Linked DNA regions of Macaca mulatta. The protein of the gene in region 7 interacts with the protein of the main gene of each other region in a biochemical or structural test. Links are inferred from orthologs where the notes say so. Each region holds a gene or a part of one and is shown on either strand. Other genes may lie near its edges.

Region 1 (3,290 bases), on a different chromosome or scaffold from region 7:
CAGGGATCCCGTCCTGCAGGGATGACAGACCCAGCAGTCCCGGCAGAGGGCATGAGGCTCCGGCAGCTCCATCAGCAAGTGGCCAGGCCCAGCCCTGAGCCAGAGACTGTCAGAAGGGGACAATGGTAAGGAGAGAGCTGGGCTCAGGGTCTGGAGCCCTGGCTCTGCGCCAGCCTGCCACATGCCACCTGCATGGCTCTTGATATACTCCCTCCTTCATCTGTGGAATGGGGATAACACCCTGGCCCAAGGGTCCCACAGAACCAAAAGGTGAGGCTTTATAAAAATTCTCTCTACAAACCACTGAGACCAGCAGATGGCCCACACCCACCCAGGTTGCACTGAACACTGTGGAGCATCCAAGGAGTTGTGGGGGCAGGGCAAGGGTTGAGGGGAATGGGCTGCCCTGCTCCCACATCCTGTGACTGCAGAGGCCAACTTAGGACCCGCGACTCACAGGCACAATAACTGAAACACACCAGTCACAACAACAGTTTAACATTTTACTAAATCAACTCACACAAATTCCAAATTGCAAATATAATTAAGGACAACAGATTCTGCTTTGCCTTATTAAATCTTCCATTTTCAAATCCATCATTAAGACAAAAAGTAACCAAAAATTAGGTCTGTTGCAAATTCATGATTCTTCTGAGGGGGAAAAAAAAAGAACATTAGAGTAAAAAGAACGCCACTGGGTGTACGATAAAGCACCACAACACACGGTTACAAACGGGGCTTCCTGGCTTCGGCGACAAGTAAAAGACGCTGTTCTCCCCACTGCTGTGCGTCAATTAGGGTTTCATTAAAATAAAACTATAAAATCTCCTAGGTTACACTAAGTCAGACACGGTCTGGAACACAGTGCTTAACAACAGTAATGCCAACTATCAGTGCTAACATAAAAACATTTTAGAAGGTCAAAAACAATTGAACTGGAAACCAAAGCCTTATTTTCCCTAGATGAGCAAAACTGAAAATGAAAGGGGTCCCACCTCCCAGTAGGAGTGAAGGGGATTTTTTTTTCTTTTAAATTGGAGGTGGGGTACATGGTGCAGCTGGTTCTGTCGTTGCTCAGCCTAGTTGGCGTCCAGCTTGGCCATTTCCTGCACGTAGATGCCTATACTCTCGCTGTCAAAAAGCACGAAGTACACCGTTTTGATGGAAGAGGACATTGTGGACACGAAGTAACTGGAGATGGCCTTCAGAATCAGCTGAGCTGCTGTCTGCTTTGGAAAACCGTTCCTGGAGAAGAGAAAACAAGCACTCAGCAACTGGGATGCCATGGGGACCGCGGGACCAGCCCCACCCTACGGGCCACCTCTGTGCTGCAGCTTGCTGTGTATTGGGTCCGTGTCTGTTGAGCCCTGTGTCTGTTTGTATACCAGCGTGGGAAAGCCCAGTGCCCAGAAGACGGGACGGGGGACAGACAACTGGACAGAGAGCTGGCACCTGCAGAAGGACGTGCTATGTGCTTTCAGAGAAGGCAGCAGCCAACAAACAGAATAGTGTTTTGTGGTGTGCATTAAGCCCCCGAAGTGCAGTGTGAGCTCCTGATTTTCTTTTTCCGTCATGCATTTGACTAGCACAGTGCCTGAGCCATAGCCCAGGCTCTCGATGTCAGCCCCAGGGAATGGCTGCAGGTTCTCTGGGAAGGCACTGACCTCTATCCACCCACACAGAAGAGTTACCCCTTCATACCAGGGGCCACTGCCCAGGAATCACCCTCTAACACACACCAGCGGTACCACCCCAGAGGCCACAACGCAGGGAGCAGTGGGCTCTTCAACTCAGGGCTATCATCCAAGTTTCCAAGCCATATGTATTTGAATCCACATACACTTCCGCTTCAAATGTCATGTGGCAATTTCTGGAGGTAGATGCTCTGGATTTAAAAATGTGAAATCGGGACTGGCCCTCACTGCTCTGTGGTGTGCCTGAGGCTGCTCCTGGTCAGCATGGCATGTGGGTAGCCCAGGAGACCCAGGAGGAGATAGGCAGCTTGCCTACTCTAGTGAAAACCTGGGTTTAGAGCCAGTGGCCCTGGATTCACATCCCTTACTGGTCCCATTTTAGTTAAGGATACTGAGGGTGAGTCTGGGGCCAGCTCTCATGGGTGGCTCTTTGTTCACTGGCAGATCTACGGTCATCGATCCACCTGAGACTGTGGGTGTGTTGGTGTCCAAGGCACTGGGCCAGTCCGCCTATTTCAGCTGGAGTTCTTCACATGAGGCACCTGCTGCCAGGTGGAGGGGTTTCCAGAGGTGTAAGGTAGGCATCTACTGTAGTACTGCTAGCCTCACTCACTGCATGCCTGTGCATTCTGAACCTCCTGGCTTGGCCCTGGAGCACCTCAGTGGTCCACTGTTGACAGTGCACAGTGCATTTGACAGCCACAGGGGAAACCCTCTTGTGACTTGCTTTTGACCATACACGGCTTCCAGCTTGTGGAGACTTAGGAGCTTCTGGATGCCTCGGGAGTGGAGTTCCCTCTTAGAGGACAAGAGATGTGCCCTCAGCCTATGTGAAGGAGCCTGCAGGCAATTAATTAGTGGGGGGCAACCCACGGTTCCTTCACACACAGGTGGCAGCTCCTCAGCCACAGAGCACACCCACAGAGCAGCAGCCAGTGCATACAACCCTGCCCATGAGAGGCGTCAGAGCTCCAGAGCCGCTCTGGCCACAAGAGTGGTGTTAGACCTGTGCAGCTTCCTCCTGGGAGATCCTGGTGATTCTAGACCAATAGGTGGGCCAGGATGGTGGGTGTCATGTATAATGAAGGAAAAGGGCTCTGCTGAGAGCAGACAGGTCATTCCTCTGGCACCAGTGCCGTTTGCAGATCTGAAATCTTGGCCCACACCAGGCACAGCTGCCTTCACTATAGTCACAGGAGTCAAGGAGCACAGAGCACAGGTTATCTGGATTGAGCCATGTTGGGAACTGCTTGAGGAGATAAACTCAGTCTTCCATTTTTGGGGGCATCTTTCCAGCAGCTCAGGCTGCTTCCAGATATGGGCTGGGCTCCTCAGTCCTGTTGCAGCCTGCACTTGAGCCAAGGGGCCAAGAGCTTCTGGAGCAGGCAGAACCCCGTCTGTGGATGTGACCTGGATGAACGGGGGCTGCAGGGTGCTGAGAGGAGCTGTGAGAAGTTGCTTTCTGCATGTGAAGCCCAAGACTATGCTCTGCCAGCTCCAAGGTTCCTGCAGTGAGGTGCCCTCCTGCCTGTCTCAGCCTCACGTGCGCACAGGGGGCTGGGCTGAGGGCCTGTGGAACTGCTGCAAATAGCAGTT
Region 2 (3,433 bases), on a different chromosome or scaffold from region 7:
CATGAAATTTTAGCCTATTAGCCTATGACAAAAATAGCCAAAATTGATAGGAGTGTGGAGGGTGACACGGAAGGAAGAAGGGGGAAGCAGAAATGAAAGTTCATAAATGGTCTTGGGAGAAAATATGTCCATATATTAAACCTTACACCAAAATAGAGTTCACCATGTAAACCGTGTTGTAATGTAAAATTAACAACACAAAATTACTTAACCCATGGGAGAATGCTTTTTCCTTCTTCCCTGCCTCTGCCTCCCTGTCTCTCTGCTTGCCTCCCTCCCCTTTCTCCCTTTCTTGGGATGAATCCGTGGTCACTATCACTAACAGAGAAATTAACTCACTACATTCATCATTGTGGAGATGGTAGAATAACTGAGCAGCTTATCTCCAGAAGTCCCGGTCCACATAATTTAGGTCTCACCGAAATGTGCCTATCAGATTTTAAAAGAACCGAATATAAGACGCTAGGTTTTCTGTATTCAGAAGCACCATGGGTGTCAAATAGAGGGAACCATTAACGAAGGCCTTTATTAGAAATGTCTCTCATTTATCCATATACTTTAGTTAATAGTACAAATCGTTCTCCGCGTAGAAACACTTGGACTGCCAAACAAAATGTGTTTAAAAGAACTTCGATTTTTAAATGTTGATGTCTGCCTAAACTGAGGATAAGTAACCGTCAAGCGAGGACAAAATGGCTGGCTAAAAGTTGTGCTTTCGATACGCTCAAAATCGATACGCTCAAATCTGTCAGTTTAGCGGAACACTACATGCATGATATGAGAAACAAAAAGCTCCCTAGGTCCACGATTGCCTTGGGTGGAGGAAGGGCTATTGCCGCTGTTTATTCAAATGCATTCCTTTGTTACCACAGGAATGAGAAATTAACAGCAGAGGAATGTAGGACAAAGGTACCTGCACGCACTCTCCTCCCAGGGCTGGATGTTGCCACTACCTCCAGGAGATACCAACTTGACTACCTACAACATGGAAAGCGTCCGAAATCCCGAACGTTAATATCAAGAGGCAAAACTTTCAAGTCACAGAGAAGCAACACACACGGAATAAGCAACGTCTGCCACCATCCAATTAAATATAGAATTAAAGTCATGGACTAGAACGACGGACCAACCCAGGAGCAGGGCGGGACTTTTGAATTATTTTTTAGTCCAATCCGGATATCCCTTTAGACGAAGAAACTGGCTCTTGTTTTGCGATCTTTTCTGCCTTTCACAGGCCTGGGGCGTGGCTGACTGCCATCCCAAAAACATCCGCCAGCGGGAAACGCCTCGAAGCAGCAGTCAGGGACATGGAAGTCGCAGTAAAGGTTTAAGCGCCGTAACCTCACCACGGCCACTCTCGAACCCCCGTTACTTATTTGTCTTATAAGGTTCCCGTTCGACTAACCTTAAGGAGCAGGGTCGAGCAAGAAAAGGAACAAGGGCAACTAAGAAAAACAAGTATCCAGCTCTTTTATTGAGATCAGTGGTGGCTCTGAAAAGAGCCTTTTGGGTTTTTTGAAGCAGGCGTCCACCTATTTCTTCTTGGGTGCCGCCTTCTTAGGCTTGACAACCTTGGGCTTGGCGGCCTTGGGCTTCACGGACTTAGCAGCACTTTTGGCAGCTTTCTTGGGCTTCGCAACCTTGGCCTTCTTTGGGCTCTTGGCCACTTTCTTGGTCACAGTGGCCGCGGCCGGCTTCTTCGCCTTCTTCGGTGTTTTCTTAGCGCTCTTCTTCGGGGTAGCGCCGCCAGTCGCCTTCCTAGGCTTCTTAGCTGCCCCAACCGGCTTCTTAGGCTTGGCTGCGCCCACCTTCTTAACCTTGGGCTTGGTTTCGCCGGAGGCTGCCTTCTTGTTAAGTTTGAAGGAACCAGAAGCACCGGTGCCCTTAGTCTGCACCAGAGTGCCCTTGCTCACCAGACTCTTGAGACCAAGTTTGATTCGGCTGTTGTTTTTCTCCACATCATAGCCGGCGGCAGCCAACGCTTTTTTCAAAGCAGCAAGAGAAACCCCGCTGCGCTCTTTAGAGGCTGCCACCGCCTTGGTGATGAGCTCTGACACCGGGGGACCAGATGCCTTACGAGGCGGCCCCCCAGATTTCTTGGCTGTTTTCTTCTTTACGGGGACTTTCTCCGCCGGAGGCGCGGCAGCGGGAGCGACAGGAGCAGTCTCGGACATGTTGAGGATCAACAACTCGGGTACAAGTGGCAAAGCGCCGATGAAACAGCGCTTGGGCAGGGCCGCTGTATATATAGAGCGCAGGAGCGCTCTGATTGGTGCTCTGGTGGCCCGCCTGGCTGGCAGGCTCTGAGTCGCTGCGCTGCTCCCAAGTTGTGTTTGTTCCACCTCACAAAAGGGGAAAAATATTAAAATTCCCTGCACCAAATCACCCGGATTTGGTCAGGAAAGGATCTCAGAAGCCTCGGGCTTCAGGCTTTTCATTTATTTTTTCCACAACCACAAAAACAACGCGTCCAGGCGTCCCCAATTCCCCCAACTCCGAAGGAAGTCTGGGGCAGTCAGAGACCACTTTCTGTTTTTCTTATAAATTACCTGTTCGCTCCTTTGCCCCTGAAAGTTCTTTTTCCCAGGGGTGGTTGGGCACATGCTTCCCTTATTTTTGAAAAAAAAAGCGAAATGGTTTCCACCTAAATTTTCATGATAATTCTGTTTCTTCACAAGGGAAGTAACACAGGTCCTGTGTGAATTCTTCCTGCAGACGCACAGGAACTGTGGACTGGGACAAGGATTCCAGGGCCAGTCCAAAGTAATTAGGGAGGGATGGGAGGGGGTTCATGAGCCTTGGTAGGGTCCGGTGTGGTGGGGGGCTAGAGACTTAAATCTTTGATTTGAAGACATTGAAACCATCAAATCCTTCTTTTCATAGATGGGGGCGGGGCATCCTTTTCACTTCTCTACAGGCGAGAAATTGGGCTCTTTTTAAAAAGCTCTGAGGTCCCCCTCTGAGTTGTGTAAGGCAGGAGGTCTGGCTCTCAAGATAGAGATAATAAAGGAACAAGGGAGATCCCTTAAGCCTGCAAAGAAAGCCAATAGATTTGGCAGTTAGAGGCACTGAGATAATATGTTTTCAAAGAAAACAAGCATTTATTTATTTATTTATTTTTGTACATTGCAATATTAGAGATGAATTTCAGCCCATGAAAATTAGAGGTTACTTTCAATAACCACACCTTACACAAGTTACCGTACAGGACAATCTCCAGTTTGAAACTCAAATATATCTTTGAATTGCAAATAAAGCAACTGACTTTAATAAAACAAACTCTTGACTTTTAAGATGAACAATATATTTGAAATTTATTTTTTAAATAGCAAAAATTTACACAGAAAGATAGGAAAAGTACCAGAACATGTAATTTATTATAAGATCTTTTGTTGATGAGCTGAAAATCACCTCTTCTTTTCCCCTCTGAAAC
Region 3 (4,069 bases), on a different chromosome or scaffold from region 7:
ATTTCCAAGTTCTCCACTTGCAGAAAATTTCACGCCGTCTTTTGCACAGGAAATTACAACAGCATCTCCAATATGGCTGAGATCTCGGCATATACGTGCAAATTCACCAGAAGGCATCTTTACTACACAGCTGTACTCTTGTTCCTATTAAGAACAAAAATTTTCCAAAAGTTACTTGTTAGAAATTTAATGATTTGGCACCCTCACTTTCTTAAAAGGCAACATCTAAACAACTCAGAATCAAGATTTTCTGATTACTGACTCGTGTAATTTCTTAACAAACTCCACTCAAAAAAAATAAATGGCTATTAAATGCACTGCCCAGGGAACAAGCGCCTCCTCCTCCTCATCCTCCAGGGATAAAGTAAGAGAACATTAGAGTATGCCACAGAAATGATGACGGCGCAAGCAGGTCTAACTATTTTCTAAAAGAAAACGAGAGAATATGATATTAGGCATTTTCAACATTCCAACATTTCTTCTCTCCTTTGGTGTTTATAAACCTAACCTGGATACATTTCTTCTAAGATAGCTTTCAAACCCACTTAACAAAAATCAAGCATCGGGCCGGGCGCGGTGGCTCAAGCCTGTAATCCCAGCACTTTGGAAGGCCGAGACAGGCGGATCACAAGGTCAGGAGATCGAGACCATCCTGGCTAACCTGGTGAAACCCCGTCTCTACTAAAAAATACAAAAAAAAAAAAAAAAAAAAAAAAAAAAAAACTAGCCGGGCGAGGTGGTGGGCGCCTGTAGTCCCAGCTACTCGGGAAGCTGAGGCAGGAGAATGGCGTAAATCTGGGTGGCAGAGCTTGCAGTGAGCTGAGATCCGGCCACAGCACTCCAGCCTGGGCGACAGAGCGAGACTCCGCCTCAAAAACAAAACAAAACAAAACAAAACCAACCATCCTAGAAGGAAGCAAATTTTAAAAGAGGTTCATGGAAATTAATGCAAATAGACAACTGGCAGTAAACAATAAATTTAACCAGTGAGTTTTAGACTTGTGGTAAACAACTATCCAAATACTAAAATCTCTTTAAAACATGCACCAGTAGATATGTTTCTAGAAAAAGTTCTGTTATGAAGTAGGCTTAAATTATATTAACTTATCTTGACGGAGGAGGATCATTGAGGCCAGGAGTTCCAGACCAGCCTGGGCAAGACTGCCCCCACACCCACACACAAAAATAAAAAAATTAGCCAGGCGTGGTGGGACAGATCTGTAGTCCTTCCTAGCCACTTAGGAGACTAAGTGGATTGCTTGAGCCCAGGAGTCCCAGGTTACAGTGAGCTATATGGCACCACTGCACTCCAGCCTGGGGAAAAGAGGAAGACCCTGTCTGTAAAAATAAACAACATTCTATGATATAACTATCATGCCTGTGTACAGCAGTCGCTACAATCAGAAACTGATACTCACTGGAATTCCAAGTTGTTCAACATCCAAATCCATCAACTTCATTTCATAGTCTGAAACTTTCTCCTGGTCTACCAAAAAAAAGCAAATGCTGTTGAGAAACACTGGCACAGAGTTTTGATCTTCTGTAGCTTCATAACTCAGTAAAAAGGTACGACTTACTGGGTGCTTCAAATACTAGCGCCAAGGTATCCGCATTATCTTCAGCCCTTAGTGTAATGATATCTTCATTGCCGGCGCATTTTAGTATTTTGGACATACTAGAAGACAGGAGACACATGGTTTAAAATCAACACCATCTACTGAAGGTCTGTATTTCTAATGCAGTTAGAAGGGGTTACCACTCTCACCCATAGGCCGTCTCAGAACTGGTGGAGGGTAATTGCACTGCTGGAGGATGCGAATATTAATGCAGACATTTTGGGATGCATCTGGCAGTATTTATACTAAAATACCACCAGCAGTTTCCCTTCTGGATAGAAACAATCTCCTGCCACTAAGTAGGATGACAGGCTGACACTTTTCTCGCAAGGGCACATTATAAAGCATTTAAAGTCAATCGCGACTGAGCCGGGAGGATCGCCTGAGCCCAGAAGTTGGAGACCAGCCCGGGCCAACACATCGAGACCGTCTCGGAAACAAAAAAGCCACAACTAAAGCGTCCATTCAAGGCCAACAGGATTTAGTGAGCAAAAGCTCTGGAGCAGTGTTCCTGGCACTGCAGAAAAACCAGTCATTTTCCCGCCACCACCCGCTTTGTGACTTTGGCGCGAAAAAGCAGGTTCGCGCAGCAGCCAGCGCGGGCTTTTCCGAACCGCGCGCTCAGCTGGGCCCCACCCCCCTGCATGGCAGGCCAATGAGAAGGTGCGGATGGTCCACGCCAGCCAATGAGGGCTCGGCTCGGAAGCGATCCCGCCAAACCCCGGAGGTGGGGGTGGGCCGGGGCCGGCTTCTCGACGCCGCGAGGCTCACCTGGTGAGGTTCACGCCCATAGCCAGGTTGCGGTCGCAGCGGTAGGTGTCGAAGCCCTCAGACCGCAGGGTGAGCTGCACCAAGGAGACGTGGGACGAGTCCATGCTCTGCAGATTTACGCCGCTGGAGCTAATATCCCAGCAGGCCTCGTTGATGAGGTCCTTGAGGGCCTCCAACACCTTCTTCAGGATGGAGCCCTGGACCAGGCGCGCCTCGAACATGGTGGCGGAGTGGCAGCAACGCGGCTACAGGCAGGCGGGAAGGAGGAAAGTCTAGCCGGTTTCCGCTTCAGGAGCCTCAGAGCGAGCGGGCGAACGTCGTGACGAGAAGCTGAGACCTAGAAACAGAACTACCAGTCTGCTACGCCTGCAACCGTTTAATGCCGCCGCGTCCGCCAGCGCGCGCTCTTACCCTGCGCCGCGTTGCGACGTCACCACGCTGCCCGGCCCACGGCCTGGGCGGGTTAGAATTTAGGGCCAATCGTGCCGATGCTCCCCGCGAGGCCCGCCCCCTAGGACATACATTGGAGGAAGCGGGTGCAGGGCGGGGCAGCGTCCCGCAGGTCTCCCCGCCTCTTCGCCTGACTCCTGAACCTGACCACTGAACAAGTCCGGGCATATGTGGGGATCCGGCCCAGGCCCCGGTTCGTCAAGCCCCAGCTTTATGGTGCCTCCTCAGCCTCCAGCTCCGTGGGTAGAAAGTTTCCAGCCACGAAAGTGAAAGTGAAAAGCAAATCCAGCCTACCGGGAGGAAAAGCCTCCTTGTAGCCTGAAGAGTACAGCTGCTGCAAATATGCACTTTATTTTTCAATTACAAAAGTGATGCGCTCCTAAGTGTCACACCATAAAGAGTTATGTTAAACTTAGCTCCCTCTCACCTCTTAACATTCCACTGCCAGCTCTTATAATCACTCAATCGTTCCTTGTATAAAGCTTTTAAAGCTTTTTTGAAAGTTCGAATACACTTTTTTTTTTCAAAATGCACTCATTCCGTAAACACTTCGAAAAAGTACTTAATAAAGTACATTTAATTTTATGCCACGTACATCTTTTTTATATCAGTACCTCTTTAAAAGATAGCATCACATGTATGTAACTTATCAATCTCCTGTTAATTACAAACACCTTTGAGCACTTAGGCAATTTTGGTGCTATCAACTCCTTGAAGTAATACAGCTGAGTCAAAGAGCGTACACATTTAATTTTTTTTCTTTTCTTTCTTTCTTTTTTTTTGAGATGGAGTCCTGCTCTGTCATTCAGGCTGGAGTGCAGTGGCGCGATCTCGGCTCACTGCAACCTCCGCCTCCCAGGTTCAAATGATTCTCCTGCCTCAGCCTCCCGAGTAGCTGGGATTACAGGCGCCTACCACCGCGCCCGACTAATTTTTTTTTTTTTTTTTTTTAGTAGAGACGGGGTTTCACCATGTTGGCCAGGCTGGTCTCGAACTCCCGACCTCAGGTGATCACCCGCCTCAGCCTCCCAAAGTGCTGGGATTACAGGCATGTGCCACCATGCCCGGCTAAATTTTTGATAAATGTTACTAAATCTCTAAAAGTTTGCAATTTACATTCTAGCCAAGACTGTGTATGAACATGCTCATTTATCTTTATTTTCCTAACTACAGATATTAGCAATCTCATTTTTTAATCATTGCTCATCTGTGTCAAAAATTCAATTTTTTTT
Region 4 (3,500 bases), on a different chromosome or scaffold from region 7:
GTCATTCTATGTGGAACATTTGGGAAAAGTAATTTGCATGGCACTGTCGCCTGACCAAACCCTTCACTTTTTAATTGCCTTTAGTGTCTTATAGTATCTCTATGTATCCTTATAGATTACTATAAGCAGTAATGATTAATGATGAGATATTAAAAGCCTTTGTTCTTTTTTCTTTTCTTTTGAGACGGAGTTTCATTCTTTTTGCCCAGGCCGGAGTGCAATGGCATGATCTCAGCTCACAGCAACCTCCGCCTCCCAGGTTCAAGCGATTCTCCTGCCTCAGCCTCCCAAGTAGCTGGAATTACAGGCGCCTGCCACCATGCCTGGCTAATGTTTGTATTTTCAGCTTGGCCAGGCTGGTCTCGAACTCATGACCTTGTGATCTGTCTGCCTCGGCCTCCCAAGGTGCTGAGATTACAAGTGTGAGCCTCTGTGCCCGGCTGTAAAATTGTCATTTGAGAGGCTGTGTGTAGCTGGAGGTGTTGATGGGTGTCTTTGAGAGGGTGGGGATTCAGAAAGGTTCAGGACGGGCCGGGCGCGGTGGCTCATGCCTGTAATCCCAGCACTTTGGGAGGCCGAGGGGAGTGGATTGCGAGGTCAGGAGATCGAGACCATCCTGGCTAACACGGTGAAACCCCATCTTTACTAAAAATACAAAAAATTAGCCAGGCATGGTGGTGGGTGCCTGTAGTCCCAGCTACTTGGGAGGCTGAGGCAGGAGAATGGTGTGAACCCGGGAGGTGGAGCTTGTAGTGAGCTGAGATTGCGCCACTGCACTCCAGCCTGGGCAACAAAGCAAGACTCTGTCTAAAAAAAAAAAAAATTTGTTTTTCATAACTGTCTTGGTTAAGTGTTTTTCTTACATATGTACAAGGGGGATCCTGAGTTTGAACCACATACTTTGGTAAAGCAAAGGGCATTAGGGTTCACAGTTCCCACAGTCATATTCCATGTCATCCCACCCTGTCTTTTGTAGGTTGCGACCTTTCGTTCCCCGGCAATAAACTGGTCTCTGGAGATCACTGTAAAATTGTAGTGGATGAAAAATCAGGTCAGGTGACACTGGAAGATACCAGGTGAGTATGTTCTGAGCTTCTTTTGGTGTTTCTTCTTGTACCTTAAGAAGCCCGACTCCGTGCTAGTGTGCTGTGTGCCACGGCCGAGGAGCAGAAGAAATGCTGTCTTTGGTGTGATAACAGCACAGTCGTGTCCCTTAGCAACACGGATACAGTCTGAGAAATGTGTCATTAGACAATTCCATCATCTTGCAAACATCATGGAGTATGCTTAAACAAAACCTGGTGGTATAGCCTACTACGTACCTAGGCTACATGGTGCAGCCTGTTGCTCCCAGGCTGGAAACCTGAACAGCGTGCCACTGAACTGAATGCTATAGGCAGTGGTAACACCACGGTAAAAGTATTTATCTATCTAAACATGGAAAAGGTGCAGTAGAAATAGGATATTTTAGTCTTATGGGACTACTACCGTGTATGTATCTGTTGAACAAAACGTTATTATCAGGCCGGACGTGGTGGCTCACCTGTAATCCCAGCACTTTGGGAGGCTGAGGCAGGCAGATGAGGTCAGGAACTCGAGCCCAGCCTGGCCAACATGGAGAAACCTCGTCTCTATTAAAAATATAAAAATTAGCTGGGCATAGTGGCATGCACCTGTAATCCCATCTACTCGGGAGGCTGAGACAGGAGAATCACTTGAACCTGGGAGGTGGAGGTTGCGGTAAGCTGAGATGGTGCCATTGCACTCCAGCCTGAGAAGCGAGTGAAACTCCGTCTCAAAACAAAACAAAACAAAAGTTATTATCTGGGACATGACTGTAGTTAATTAGGCTCCCAAGGTATAAGAAGACGTATTTCCTGGTTTCCAGGATGGGACACTTAGTGACACTTTGGTATCTATGACCCTTCTTGAATGTATTCAAATTAAATATGTCTCAGAAATAAGACTTAAAAGATGCTCGTAATTTTTAGTTCTTGCAAGCCTATTCAGGTTTGATTTCTTTCCCTCAAATCCAAAAATCGTTTTTTAAAACTAATAAATTCTCGTTCTTGTACAACTTAAGTACAGATTGAGTATCTGAAATGATTGGGACTAGAGTGTTTAGATTTTGAATTTTTTCAGATTTTAGAATATTTGCATTATAATTACCAATTGAGCGTGTCTGATTCAAAATTCTGAAATGCTCCAGTGGGTATTTTTGAGTGTCTTATTGGTGCTCAAAAAGTTTAGGACTTCAGATATCTGATTAAGGACATTCAGCTTAGGGATATTCAACTTAGAAAGTGGAAAGCTTTCCAAAATCCCGTTCATACATTAGAAATACATGTGCAGGTGGCCGGGCGCGGTGGCTCAAGCCTGTAATCCCAGCACTTTGGGAGACCGGGACGGGCGGATCACAAGGTCAGGAGTTCGAGACCATCCTGGCGAACACGGTGAAACCCCGTCTCTACTAAAAAATACAAAAAACTAGCCAGGCGAGGCGGCGGGCACCTGTAGTCCCAGCTACTCGGGAGGCTGAGGCAGGAGAATGGCGTAAACCCGGGAGGCGGAGCTTGCAGTGAGCTGAGATCTGGCCACTGCACTCCAGCCTGGGCGACAGAGCCAGACTCCGTCTCAAAAAAAAAAAAAAAAAAAAGAAATACATGTGCAGGTATATATATTTTGCATTAATGCGATTACGCTACGCATACTGTTGTAGCGTCAGCTTTTTTCTTCTTCTTTTTTTTTTTTTTGAGATGGAGTTTCACTCTGTCACAGGCTGGAGTGCAGTGGTGCAATCTCGGCTCACTGCAGCCTCCACGTCCCAAGTTCCAGTGATTCTCCTGCCTCAGCCTCCCGTGTGGCTGGCATTATAGGCACGCACTACCACACCCAGCTAATTTTTTTGTGTTTTTAGTAGAGACGGGATTTCACCGTGTTGGCCAGGCTGGTCTCAAACTCCTGATCTCGGGTGATGCGCCTCCAAAGTGCTGGGATTACAGGCATGAGCCACTGCGCCCGGCACTCACGCCTGTAATCCCAGCACTTTGGGAGGCCGAGGGGAGTGGATTGAGAGCTTTTTTCACTTACAGTGTTGTGTGGAGCGCTTCACATGTCCCTGCGTCTGCATCTATCTCATCTTCTTGTCATTTTAGGATAGTTTCTTTGTCACTTCCCTTATTGGTGGACATTTATTGTTTTGACTTTTTCTTACTATAAATAACACTGCAGTGACTCTTTCCCAAACTCTGCTTTCATGTCTGTTTTCTTGGGATGATTCTTGAAAGGGAAACCTGTGTCAGTGTCACTCAGAATGTGCCTATTCCGTTTTTTTTTCTTTTTTGAGATGGAGTTTCGCTCTGTAGCTCAGGCTGGAGTGCAGTTGGTGTGATCTCGACTCACTGCAACCTCTGCCACCCGGATTCAAGCGATTCTTCTGCCTCAGCCTCCTGAGTAACTGGGATTACAGGTGCACGCCACCACGCCCGGCTCAGATGGGG
Region 5 (3,939 bases), on a different chromosome or scaffold from region 7:
GACACAGTCCAGACAAAGCACATTTCTGTCACCATAAATATCCCTCACGTTGCTATTTTATAGCCATATCCATTCCCATCTGCCCTCCTGCCTAATTTTTTAACCTTTGGCAACCACTAATCTGTTCTCCATTTTTGAAATTTTGCAATCTGCAATTTCAATAATGTTATATAAATAGAATTACACAATATGTAATCTTTTGGATTGGCTGTTTTAACTTAAGTTCTCTGAAGATAAATCCTGCTGTAAAACCATCTAACTGATGCCAATCATGAAGCAGAATCAAAATCTAGTAAACAAAGAGCTGGGGTTCTCTGATGACTCACGTGAAAGCAAAGGGCACAAGAAAGATTAAATTTCATTGTCCTTTGTTTGTGACAGGTTTCTCTGTGTTTTCCTACCACCGTAAAAATATAAAAATATTCTCATTGTCAAACTGTTTTACTACTAAGACTATTTTACACAGTGGGATTATAAACTTTTATGTTTGTGTGGCCATCAAGGTTTGTGAAGCTTGTCTCAGAAAAACGTGCCCAATTAAGAAAGTTCAAAATCATCCTTATTTATATTAATCATTTCCAATGTATACCAATTTACAATGAACTTACTGAGTTTTCCACTTAGAACTCAGTCTTCGCTCTCTCACAAAACAAAAATAAGTCTCACTGGAATTCCTGTTGTTGGAAACAGGGGCCCTTATGTTGTGTTTTAACCACTGCGGAGAAGAATCGAGTGCATCTGTCAGCTCCAAAATCGAAAAAACTACAAGGTGATTTGTTTGTTCTCCAAATTTTTCCTTTAACACACTTAGGATGTCATTCATAAGCACTTCTGATACCTGCCAACCTTGGCAACAGAATCTCATCCCTGAATGTTATTTTAAAAGGAAAAGCAAGATCTTGACCAGATAATTGCCCAGCTTTCACTCCCTATCATTTTAAAAAACAGATACCAAATAGGCTCATCTCACATTAGCAAGTCGACAACACAAAGAACAAGCTACAAATAATGAAAGGGTATGCAATCTGTTGCCAAGTTTCTACAACACGGCCCTAAAATTCATCCATCTTTTAACCAGACCCAGGTACTCTACTGGTGACAATGTCTTAAGCAAGTCAAAACTCATTAGTCACCAGACACATGATTACTAGATGAAACACATACTCTAAGTTTCTAACCTACGAATTTAAAAGAAAAACAGAAAAATAAAGCCTCCAGTTCCTTCCAGTGTTTGTAAGGCTAATAAACGACGAAAAAAAAAATTGAAATGATGTTAAACATTTAAATAATCACTTGTCAGTTAAAAAAAAGAACAGCAATTGAGTACTGTCTCAATAACCGTACTACATGCACATGTGTATGTACACAACACACAACACACACACGCCTTTAGGACCAATTTCCATAACACAATCTTAAACTACCACTCCTTTCCCTGCTCCCAGAAGGGACCTAAGGCAAGTACCAATGGTTCCATTTAGACTCTAGAAGTCAATCAGGATAACAGTAAACACTCCTCACTCTTTGGTGTTAGCTCACTGACACAGGTGTCTCCCAGTCCCAAGAGAAAACTCCTAGCGGGCAGGGACCCATGTTCCATTCATCTTTGTATGCCCCACAGTGCTAGAATCTGCAAAATGTTCTACACAGTGAGCACTAAAAAGAAATGCTGAATGTTAAAGAAAAAAATTAAAAACTAGATGTACTTAAGAAGAGCTCTATAGAATTCTGGAATGCAATATGCAAATGTTCTCATTCCTAAACCTCCCAAAGAAGGTAGAGAATATTTAGTTTTGTGGCATTGTGTCCAAAAGCTTATGCATGGACCTTAAATAACGTATGTATGGCTCAATTTTCTCATCTGAACAATGAGGATAATAAAAATACCTGACAGTTAAAGATGTTGGTATAGATAATGTCTCCTTAGACCAATGACTCGAACGCTATACACATTCCTTATTAAGGATTAGCTACTCATTTTACTGGAAATAATAAATAATACAAATAAATAAATAAGGTCCACACAGCTCTGCAAAGGAGACCAAAGCTTAAATTAGCCTAGAAGACATAATATCACGGTTTGGCAAACTTTTCTGTAAAGGGCCAGAGACTACCGTAAATATTTTAGGCTTTACAGGACAAGCCACAATACCCTGAACCCTTGCAGCAATATTCTCCCGGAAAAATTGGTAGGTTTTTTGTTTATATTTTACATTTTAGAATTTAAGAATCATTCTTAGTTCACGGGGCCATACAAACATAGGCTGGATTTGGCCCCCAGACTCTAGTTTGCCAAACCCCGGAAAAGATAATAATGGTAATACAGTCAGTGTTTTTAAAGCAACATAAAGAAATGTTTGTGAATTGCTTAAAGGTAACTGAAAAACTTGCGGCCCCAAACTTATAAAATCCAGACCGGCGGACCAGCGCGGTGGGGAATAGGGCTAGGACTAGGGCCGGTCTTCAGGCGCCGGAGCGGACCTCCACGGCTTTCGGGGTCCGCCGAGCCCCCGCCCACACTTACTCCCAGCAGCGGCCCGCGGCCGATCACAGTCTCCCCGGGCGCCAGGGCCACCCGGGGACCGCCGTCCCGCGGCTGCAGCTCGAAGCCCCCGGGCATGGCGGGCAAGGATTAGGCCCCTTCGCCAGGAGACTGGCCCCTCCGCTGTTTCCGCGGGGAAAGCCCAGGACTTGGGAAAAACAGCGGGGGAGGGCCGCAAAGGCTACCCGCGCCTGCGCCGGTCCTGTCAGAGCCCAGCCCCAGCGCAGTTTCCCGAGTCCCGTCCCTCCACGCCTACTGATGACGCAATCGGGGATTCCCCAGTCACGCCGCCTCAAAATTATTGTTTAAAAACCCCGGCTTATTCCCCACCACCCTTTTCACCTCCCTCCCTTCTTGGAGGACGCCGGGCCTTGTAGTCCTGGCGCCTTTCTTCACTTCCTTTCCCGAGCTAAGACGCCCTGGAAAAAACTACCAATCCCCAAAGGCACTACGCGCCCCCTCTCGGCGCCTGCGCGAGTTCCGAGTCAGCAGGGTGGGGCTTAGGTGGGCGGGAAGAGAAGAGCTATGGGGAAAGATTCGAATTCCGGAGGATTTAAATCGCGGGAGGAGAAGCCATCGCGGCCCAGTAGGTAGGAGGATCTTCCATTCCCGTTGGCTTAGATGTCTACGCTCCCGGGGACGCGGCCCTGACGCAAGCTCAGCCTTCCCTCCGCGGCCTGGAGCCGCAGTGACAGCGCTGACGGTTGTTGTCACTTGTCAGTGCTCCGTGTTCTTGGCTTCCAGCAGCTGCAACCCGCGCAGGACACAAGGAAGGTGGCTCAGATGGGACGTGGGGTGATTAGCCCTGACCCGCGGGATGTGGGCTGAGTGGGGCTCCCGGCCCCACCTTATGCGCTGCCGCCAATCTATCCCTCCGAGTGATAGTTGAAAGGGAGACGAGCTTTTACCTCACTTGAGAGAGAATTCAGCAAAGCTCGATTCATAAAGGAGAAAGGGCAGAAGAGGGGTCGTTTCCAGGCATCCAGGCGAACCTGGACGTAGAAGAAAGATTCCTAGTGGGATTTTAGAACCTCGCCAAGGCATCCCCTGCTGTGAAATTCAAAAACCTTCATTCCCGTTGCAGGAATTCCACAAGGGGAGGCATTTTATTCTCCCAGTAAGATCCTGGGAGAAGTGGATAAACACACCGTAACGTTTAAATACACTGTAACGTTTTCCTAATGTGAGATTCTTTTCAAGAACCTTGTGGTTTGGCTTTGGTTTGTATTGGTGGTGGGAGGGGCCAAGGTGCATGGCAAAAACTTGCTCTTGACTCACTCGTTTTTACCAGTTTGCTTTCTTACTTCCCCCAACCCTCAAGAGGAAGACCTCTGTTGAACACAGACTACAGTTCCAGCCACCACAGCTAATCTGGATCATGAATAGGAACCACCGTG
Region 6 (4,271 bases), on a different chromosome or scaffold from region 7:
GTACTAGGGTGCCCTCAGATCTCCACCAAGCCTTGTTAGTAACTTTCCACATCCTGATTTTTAAGATGCTTTCCCCTAACGCTGCTGCCGGCTGCTGGCTCTCTCCACATCCTTCAATGTCAGATCTCTGTGATGACGGAAAATCCCCCACATTCCCTTTTTACACAGTAAGGATCTTTCTAGGATCAGAACTTGCAACCTGGGGTTCATGTTCTCCTTAAAAGGTCCAGGGAGAGAACTGTATTTCTGTTGTAATTCTATGTATTTCTTTTTATGCACCTGAAAGTATTATTCTGAGAAAGGACTGTAGGCTTCATTAGACTTCCCAAATTGCAGATGGCATTAAAAAAAAAAAAAGGAATCAGGAAAGTCTTTGGGAAATTAGGCTAAAACTCCTAACTGAAGCACAATCGGGTTTTCAGGGCAACAGCAGGATTCCTGGAGTCTGTAGCAAACACTGAGCTGTTTGTGCGGACAGTGGAGCCGGTGAGGTTCAGCACCTGTCAATATTGTCAGATGTCATGAACGCCCAAGGGAAGCACCAAAACCGATCCGTGAATTGTCTGCAAACCATCGGCTTTGTTGCTTCCAAGTCTTTACTAGAACTCTTCAGCTGATCTTAAAATTCACAGACACTTAGACGTAAATGAGCACTCTCACATAAGTTCCCAAAATTCCAAAATTGCTTTACTTCTTCCAGTTGAAATATTTTGTTCTCAATTTCAAGTTGCCAAGGAAAAATGATGGTAAGAATCACAAAGACTGGATAAGAATATTTAGCTTTTCATAGTGCCTCATAGGGTCTTACAAATGTTAATGCAAAAAAATAAAAACTCCACTCAAATGCAGAAAACCAACAACAAATTCAGAGCATCTGATACCTAATCGACTAACTGATTTATTTACTGAAACAACAACAAAAAAACAGAGTGCATTGGAGACTGGAAATTGCCTCTATGGGGGACTGTTTCCTAATTCCAGTGGACAGCCATAATTTTCCCTACGCTAATTTGGGCTTTGCGCTAATGTAATTAAAACTGTAGTCAACAGACTCAGGATCTCCTTTTTCCACTCTATAAACAAGGCTGTAAAATCATCTCATTACTTTACCCAGGAAATCTAACAGAAACATGTCTTAAAGGAAGTCACCTATAAAGAGGGACTATTTTAACAGAAGATTAAAAAAAAAATTCACCTGCAGCATTCTAAAGGTTCACTTGGGTACGTACAATAAACACATAATGCAATGGAATAAAATGTTAAATCAAGCATAGTATCTTAGACGAGTGTAAACTATTTTTCCAAAAAATCATTCAGAAAATCAAAAAATATTCAAACTTTCAAAATAGCTTCATGTATTCATAAATGTATATTTTAAATTAAACTGTATAACATATTTGGATGTTTTGCAAAATGTACCTACCTTCTAAAGGATGGTCTGTTATTTCAATGTCCTTTTTAATGCACTAATTTTGGGGGGAAAAAACACATAAGATTGTACCCAAGCTATTCAAGATTGACACAGAATATTTGATTTAACAAACACGAATATAAATAAGGATGAAAACAAGAACAAAAAAAGATAGCAATTTGTGTCACAAAATCAAGTAATTTCTATTCATGCAGCTAAAAGTAGGGCACATTAACCCTCAATTTTATAATTCCTTTCTACAGGAGCCATATTTCAGCAGATTCCAATCCTTGAAGCCAAAGAAAGAAAAGTCTCTATAAGGTGAAAGTTCTTGGTACACAGATTTTTAATATATTATTGAACACACCTTGAGAAATAAAAGCTGAACTTCTGAAACACAGTTTCTATGGTACATATGAGTCAAATCTAATACAAACATTTCAAATTATGAAAATACCAAACCAAAGAATATTTTTGAAAATGCCTTGGCCCAATTCTGGGCACACTTCCATTTTCTTATGCACTTTCCAACGAACTGAAAGCCTCATGAAGCCTCATGAAAACACCACCAAATGCTTTTCACCTTCACGCAGCAAAACTAAAGACATGCAACAAATACAATTTTCTTTTTCCTCCACTCAGTATCTGCTTTTGCTGCTGATTTTTTTACATTCCTACAAATGTCACGAAGATATGGTGGCCTTTAAAACAACGGAACAGACCCCCACTCAAGACTGCATGCCCCTAGACTTGCAGTCACCATTAAATTGGCTTTGTTTCCAGGAATCAGGCCATATTTAGGATTGTACCTGTGCAGACTGACCTCCACGTTAATCTCTATATGCTATCTACTAAAAACGTAGGCAAGGAAACGCATCAGACCAAACACCCCAGAGCCCAGAGAACCGACCGGCCATTGCTTTCCAACCCCACAAACCTAACCATCGCTAGGAAGAAATCTTACTCACGGTGCACAGAGAGCAGGTATTTTATTGAAGATAAACATAGAACAGAACAAACCAAATTACCCCCGTTTGAGTTACGAGAACACTCAGTTCTCAGCATGGATGTCCCCCAAATCAAGTCAACATTTGCATCCCATTACCAGCAGCCACTTGCCGAGTATCTCTTCGCTTCCATGGGGACTGCCTGGCATCCCTGATGCTAAGGAGCCACCGAAGAACCTCCAAATGTCCGACATTCACAAACCCATCTTTTGCTTTGACCTGACCCTTCAACCTCTCCGAGTCTGCTGCCTTTTCTCAGACACACATCCAGGCACCGTTAGGGATAGTTAGAGAATCAGAAGATTCAGAAGCGCTCCGAAAAGCCTTTCCAAAAGTAATCCACAGCACTCAACAGTGAATTTAGAAACCCCAATTTTTTTCTGAGTTTGAAGTTTTTAAGCCTTGCGGATGGTTGGAGTAGGAAAAAGGAAATTTACTAGGCAGTGCAAAGGAAATCTTGTTGTCCTCTATTGTGGCAGTGGGGGTGTTGCCCAACCCTAACTTATCTGCCTTGATAAAGGAAACCAAAGAAAAGAGTAACAAGAACAAGATTTTGTCAAATTAAAAGGAACCCTTTCCTTACCTTAATAGTGCTGGCCATAATGCAATCAAGTTTATTGATCGTTAATAAATGTTAATAATAATTATTGCTTCTCTCTGACCAGAAAGTAGTTTTGATGAGGTTGTTTAGAGCGGATGAGATTGTGCTAAGTCTGGGAAATGAAGTCAGCCAATGGCAGGAAGAGGTTTCTATTGGTCCTGGCTGTCCAGCCCAAAGAAACAGGATATTTGGGAGTGGAGAGATAAGAGACCCTGAAAACAATGTTGTTTTTCTTGATGATATGCAGCCAGGAGATTTTTTTTTTTTAATTAAAAAAAGAAAAGGCATCAATTGGGATGGCGACTGCCACAGCAGGTGTGACCGGTGTGCCGCCGTGTGACACACTGCACTGAGACCAAGGCAGGATGCAGATGTGATGGGACTCCGCATGGCTTCACATGGGCTGCAAGCACCTTGGAACCAAGGCGTTGAGGGCACCCCACTGCCCCGGGTGCCAGCCCTTCACAGCCCAATTCTTCGCAGAATTACTAGGACAGAGGACTTGAGCTCCTTTCTCCTAAAAGGAAACTTTGCAGGTGGTGTTTATTTCATGTTAATAGATGGCCATGTTCAGTAACAGCCATTGCTTGGCTGATTTTTAACAACCTATATTTATTCAACATTTCATATGAGTGTTCCAGAACAGTTTCATTTTCTCCTTCCAAATCCTTGCACTTTTTATTTGCTCTACAACAAAGTTGTTGAAAACGCGAGGACTCTAGGCTTATAGTAAACAAGAAAAATAAAGAGGAAAAATAAACCTACCCAAGTCTTGTTTTCAAGTATTTACTTAAAATCCAAACAACTGAAATGGCTACAAACGTCCCGGAATGTCAGCGAGCTGGTCTCACTCTGACAGACATCCATGTTGCAGACAACAGATCCTCACAGAACTTTTGGCTACCCAGAGATGCCATGTGAGGGCCCCATGACATGTTTAAAATCCAAGCTATAAGTTCAGGGTCACAGGTCTGTTTTCTCCTCGAAGGAAGTACAGCAAATGCAGGCCTGAACATTCCTTAGAGGGTTTCAGGACTCTAATTACTCATTTTCAGGAAATTGCTTGGAAGAAACATTTTGCTTTGAATCTAGCTACAGGAACGCAGGACCCATAAAGAGGTGTGGTCTCAATAGGGACCCGAAGAACACAATAGACCAAATCCTGAGTCATCTGGCAATTCCTGGTCGCAGAGTTGGACGTTCAGTAAATGGATTTCACTCAGACTTTAGGCCAGCATGTGTCAGAGTTCTG
Region 7 (3,500 bases):
TTTGACACTGTGCTTCCCCTTGGGTAACTTGCTGATATGTGAAGCGTGCTTCAGTTCATACCTATTCAAAAGAGGACGGGCTCAGAAGAGGCTTTCACACTGTGCTCTCAAAACCAACAGTTTGATTAGGAGAATAAGATCAGATATAGAGATGAGATAAAAGCCCACAAAACCCAGACCATCTTAACTGCTCAGGCTTCCTCCCGAGTTTCTGGAACTGCTCCAGAACCTGAAGCTGCGGTTGCGGCTGAACATAGTCTGTGCCCAGCGATCACTGCTATGGGGCCATTTTCAAGGAAAGGCCCTATATGGAGTGGTGAACGGCAGCTCTGGGTTTCTGTCCGCTTTCCACAGTCCCCAGACCCCTGGCTGTTTACATGACCCTGTGCTTTTGGTTACAGTTCACAGGACTAGGGTGGATGTCCAAATCAAGCTGGACTAATCAGATCTTTCTCTGTGGAGAATCTGGAAGTGGGATTAAGATTCCAGTTCTATTTGGGTTGGTCTAAGAAAACTGAAACACTGCTGAGTGGAGGAGGAGGCCATTGGGGGATCATCCTTTGTGCAACTCAATCTCTCTGCTTCCCAGTCCGTGGAGAGAAGACACTGCCAGCTCTGGAGGCCTGGCTGCGTTCCTGCCCTTGCATTTCCTGAAGTATCCTTGTATCTCCCTTGTTCCCTTAACTTGAATTGGATTCTGTTATTTACAAGAAAAGAATCCTAATTGGCAGGTCCAGTAACGTAGTGGGGAATTTCCACTCTCCCAGCCAAAGGGAGTTCTGCCTATAGCCCATTCCATCTGTCCCCATGAAATGCCATCGGTCCCAGAGCCAGGTTTACTCACATGTTTCCAAGGGCAACTTCTCCCAACACGATTAAGCCTATTGGGTCTCCCTGAGACGTATGGCAGTAGTTGGCACTCTTGGAGACCATGTCAGCGAAATAGATCCCTTTACCAAACATGTAGCCTGTCTGGAAGGTTGGAAAAGGGACAGCTGAGAATCTTCTGATGGGAAATCAGGAGCAGCTGTTCACTGAGTGCCAACATGAGCAAGCCACCCAGCTAAGTGCTGCAATCCATCACTTCTAATTCTCACAATGCCCATGCTGAGGAAACACCAAAGTTTTAGCTCACAAGCCAGGCTGCTCAGATCCTAGCTCTGCCAGGTGCCAAGGAGCTGCAAGAAGCTATGTAACCTTTCTGGACTCTACTTGCCTCTTTTAAGTGGGGAACATAATCTCATGAAGCTGCTGTGAGGATGGAATGAGCTCATCAATGTTACTTAAACTAGTGCCTGTCAACACCCAAGGAACGCAGGCTGGTATTTTTATTCCCTTTTGTAAGTGAAACACAAGGTTCACAAAGGGTAGGCCATTTGCCCGTTATACACTACTGCACAGCACCAGAGAGAATCATTTAAACCACTCTCCTCCTCGTTCTACAACTGTGAAACTAGAGGCTTGGAAGGCCCTGTCCAGCTGGACCCATCTAGAATCCAGCAGGTGGCATCACGACCCCTCGTGTCTGGGTAAAGCCTTACTTATTTATCACTACGTTTTCCTGCTGAAGACACTGACACTCAAGAGGTGGCCCGGCTGGGAAGTGGTAGAGGTAGGCCTGGACTCAGCTTGGCCTGTAGCCACGTGTCTGTTCTTTGCTCATCAACACACCCGATTAGCATTTGCAGCAGGCCCTGGCCTGGATGCTCTATCTCCTTTGTTCCAGAAACTGTGTTTTAAACTCCTGACAGGATCAGGGTCAGAAGGATAAAAGGGTGAAGGCCTAAAGAAAGGATGTCTGGCAGAATCCCCCTAAGCCAACTAGGCCTCTTACTCAAAGTTCTTTATGGAGACACCTGCAGAGACAGGTATTGCCCACCCCTCACTAGGCCAGGCACATACCACAGGTGCTTCAGGCGGGGCTATCCGAAGACCCTGGGACAGGATCCCGGCAAAGTTGGTGGTCCTGGACCCGTGCCACAGCAATCTTCGGTTATGAAGCTGCTTAAAGGGCTTGTAGCGCTGGCATTCGCCTTCACGCTCTATCTTAAAGATCTGGTTGTAGTAGTAAACAAAGGGAGGGACAAAAGAAGCCATTTGTTACTCTGGTTGATTGAAAGATAGGACTGGACACAGGAGAAATGACTGGCTGTCCCTAAGGCTAGAAGACTTAAGGTCTGCTGCAATGCAGAAAATGTTTTCCACAAGGCTGGGATGGAAGGTCAAGGTCTGGCCCAGCAGAGCCCAGCCATTGCTAGTTAGTATTACTGTGCAGCAGATGTGCACTTGAGGAACTTTATCTTAGACCTCTGATAATTGTACGTTCTGAGACCAGGTTTGGGGATGGGAAATGTCCTTTAAAACATAATAAAAAGCCATCCCCAAACTACTGTATAAGATGCTAATTTTATAATCTCAGCACTTTGGGAGGCCAAGGAAGGCAGATCACCTGAGGTCAGGAGTTCAAGACCAGCCTGGCCAACATGGTGAATCCCTGCCTCTACTAAAAATACAAAAATCAGCCGGGTGTGGTGGCGCATGCCTGTAATCCCAGCTACTCTGGAGGCTGAGACAGGAGAATCACTTGAACCCGGGAGGCAAAGGTTGCAGTGGGCTGGGATTGCACCACTGCACTCCAGCCTGGGTGACAGAGTGAGACTCCATGCCAAAAAAAAAAAAAAAAAAAAAAAAAAAAAAAGACTAATTTTTCTGCTGAACAAATGAGTCACTTCTTTGGATTATTTAAAGTAAGTAAACTGCTCTTTTCTACCCAGGCCCAGGTTGGAGGAGTGGGCAGGGAAAAGCTGGCAGGACACAGAAGAAAGTGGGGGAAGAAGGGATTCTTACATCGATGACTTCCAAGTCATACGCATTGTGTGTGGTTGCATGAGTGTTCTTAACATACTTCCTGATGATCTCGGCTTCTTCAGAATCTCTGCCAACCACCTGGGTAAACAGAATCTTGGGATTAGCACAAAGGAGACCCCAGGAGAGCTACAGAGGAGGAATGCTCAGGCTCAGTCGATGCACAGCTCAACACCACACTCCTCAAAGGAAGCCAGGCATGACCGAGAGCCTGTGTCCCAGGCCCGTGGGCTGGGCAGATCCTGGGCCAGTGGCTCCACTTTCCTGAGCCTCCACCTCTTCATCTACTTGGGCTCAGGGTTCCTTTTTGTCTTAAAATTCTATGTTTTGGGATATCAGGGAAGCTGGAATATGGGGCTCACTGTCAGTGAGCAGGGCATTTCCAGAACAAGCAACTGGCTCCTGGAAGAGAGTCCAGCTCAGCATGAGTTAAAACACAATGGGTCAGAGGAAGTCACAGCTATGATGTGCAATTAAAATTATCCCTGGCCCAGTGCACAAGCCTAACAAGCAGCTGTCAAATAGCTGACGTAATCTATGCTAAGTAAACCTGAGTATTATAGATGAGACTAGTTATGTTTTATTTTCATATTTATATTCAAAGTTCAGAAAACCTAGGAATGCTGGTCTACCTC

The links.
Region 1: the proteins of PARP1 (region 7) and MACROH2A1 form a complex in vitro, tested with the Homo sapiens proteins (2 studies listed by BioGRID). The link is inferred for Macaca mulatta from reciprocal best matches to the Homo sapiens genes PARP1 and MACROH2A1.
Region 2: the proteins of PARP1 (region 7) and H1-2 form a complex in vitro, tested with the Homo sapiens proteins (2 studies listed by BioGRID, with this or other methods). The link is inferred for Macaca mulatta from reciprocal best matches to the Homo sapiens genes PARP1 and H1-2.
Region 3: the proteins of PARP1 (region 7) and PCNA form a complex in vitro, tested with the Homo sapiens proteins (3 studies listed by BioGRID). The link is inferred for Macaca mulatta from reciprocal best matches to the Homo sapiens genes PARP1 and PCNA.
Region 4: of the proteins of PARP1 (region 7) and CHFR, one has a biochemical effect on the other in vitro, tested with the Homo sapiens proteins (2 studies listed by BioGRID). The link is inferred for Macaca mulatta from reciprocal best matches to the Homo sapiens genes PARP1 and CHFR.
Region 5: the proteins of PARP1 (region 7) and APLF form a complex in vitro, tested with the Homo sapiens proteins (3 studies listed by BioGRID and IntAct, with this or other methods). The link is inferred for Macaca mulatta from reciprocal best matches to the Homo sapiens genes PARP1 and APLF.
Region 6: the proteins of PARP1 (region 7) and ERG form a complex in vitro, tested with the Homo sapiens proteins (2 studies listed by BioGRID and IntAct). The link is inferred for Macaca mulatta from reciprocal best matches to the Homo sapiens genes PARP1 and ERG.

Annotation. Positions count from the first base shown.
Region 1 is NC_133411.1:144,247,819-144,251,108, forward strand, and holds the end of MACROH2A1 (macroH2A.1 histone), read right to left. Parts: intron 2,272-3,290; exon of another isoform or gene 2,139-2,271; intron 1,246-2,138; coding exon 1,080-1,245; 3' UTR 501-1,079; downstream 1-500. UniProt on the Homo sapiens protein: Variant histone H2A which replaces conventional H2A in a subset of nucleosomes where it represses transcription. Nucleosomes wrap and compact DNA into chromatin, limiting DNA accessibility to the cellular machineries which require DNA as a template.
Region 2 is NC_133409.1:157,052,015-157,055,447, reverse strand, and holds H1-2 (histone H1.2), read right to left. Parts: upstream 2,217-3,433; 5' UTR 2,175-2,216; coding exon 1,533-2,174; 3' UTR 501-1,532; downstream 1-500. UniProt on the Homo sapiens protein: Histone H1 protein binds to linker DNA between nucleosomes forming the macromolecular structure known as the chromatin fiber. Histones H1 are necessary for the condensation of nucleosome chains into higher-order structured fibers.
Region 3 is NC_133415.1:78,833,558-78,837,626, reverse strand, and holds the start of PCNA (proliferating cell nuclear antigen), read right to left. Parts: upstream 2,801-4,069; 5' UTR 2,609-2,800; coding exon 2,388-2,608; intron 1,676-2,387; coding exon 1,578-1,675; intron 1,487-1,577; coding exon 1,419-1,486; intron 145-1,418; coding exon 1-144. UniProt on the Homo sapiens protein: Auxiliary protein of DNA polymerase delta and epsilon, is involved in the control of eukaryotic DNA replication by increasing the polymerase's processibility during elongation of the leading strand.
Region 4 is NC_133416.1:140,240,552-140,244,051, reverse strand, and holds part of CHFR (E3 ubiquitin-protein ligase CHFR), read left to right. Parts: intron 1-976; coding exon 977-1,076; intron 1,077-3,500. UniProt on the Homo sapiens protein: E3 ubiquitin-protein ligase that functions in the antephase checkpoint by actively delaying passage into mitosis in response to microtubule poisons.
Region 5 is NC_133418.1:56,275,922-56,279,860, forward strand, and holds the start of APLF (aprataxin and PNK-like factor), read right to left. Parts: upstream 2,801-3,939; 5' UTR 2,621-2,800; coding exon 2,525-2,620; intron 1-2,524. UniProt on the Homo sapiens protein: Histone chaperone involved in single-strand and double-strand DNA break repair.
Region 6 is NC_133408.1:8,954,632-8,958,902, reverse strand, and holds the start of ERG (transcriptional regulator ERG), read right to left. Parts: upstream 2,801-4,271; 5' UTR 2,613-2,800; coding exon 2,517-2,612; intron 1-2,516. UniProt on the Homo sapiens protein: Transcriptional regulator. May participate in transcriptional regulation through the recruitment of SETDB1 histone methyltransferase and subsequent modification of local chromatin structure.
Region 7 is NC_133406.1:84,124,320-84,127,819, forward strand, and holds part of PARP1 (poly [ADP-ribose] polymerase 1), read right to left. Parts: intron 2,947-3,500; coding exon 2,848-2,946; intron 2,056-2,847; coding exon 1,903-2,055; intron 973-1,902; coding exon 845-972; intron 62-844; coding exon 1-61. UniProt on the Homo sapiens protein: Poly-ADP-ribosyltransferase that mediates poly-ADP-ribosylation of proteins and plays a key role in DNA repair.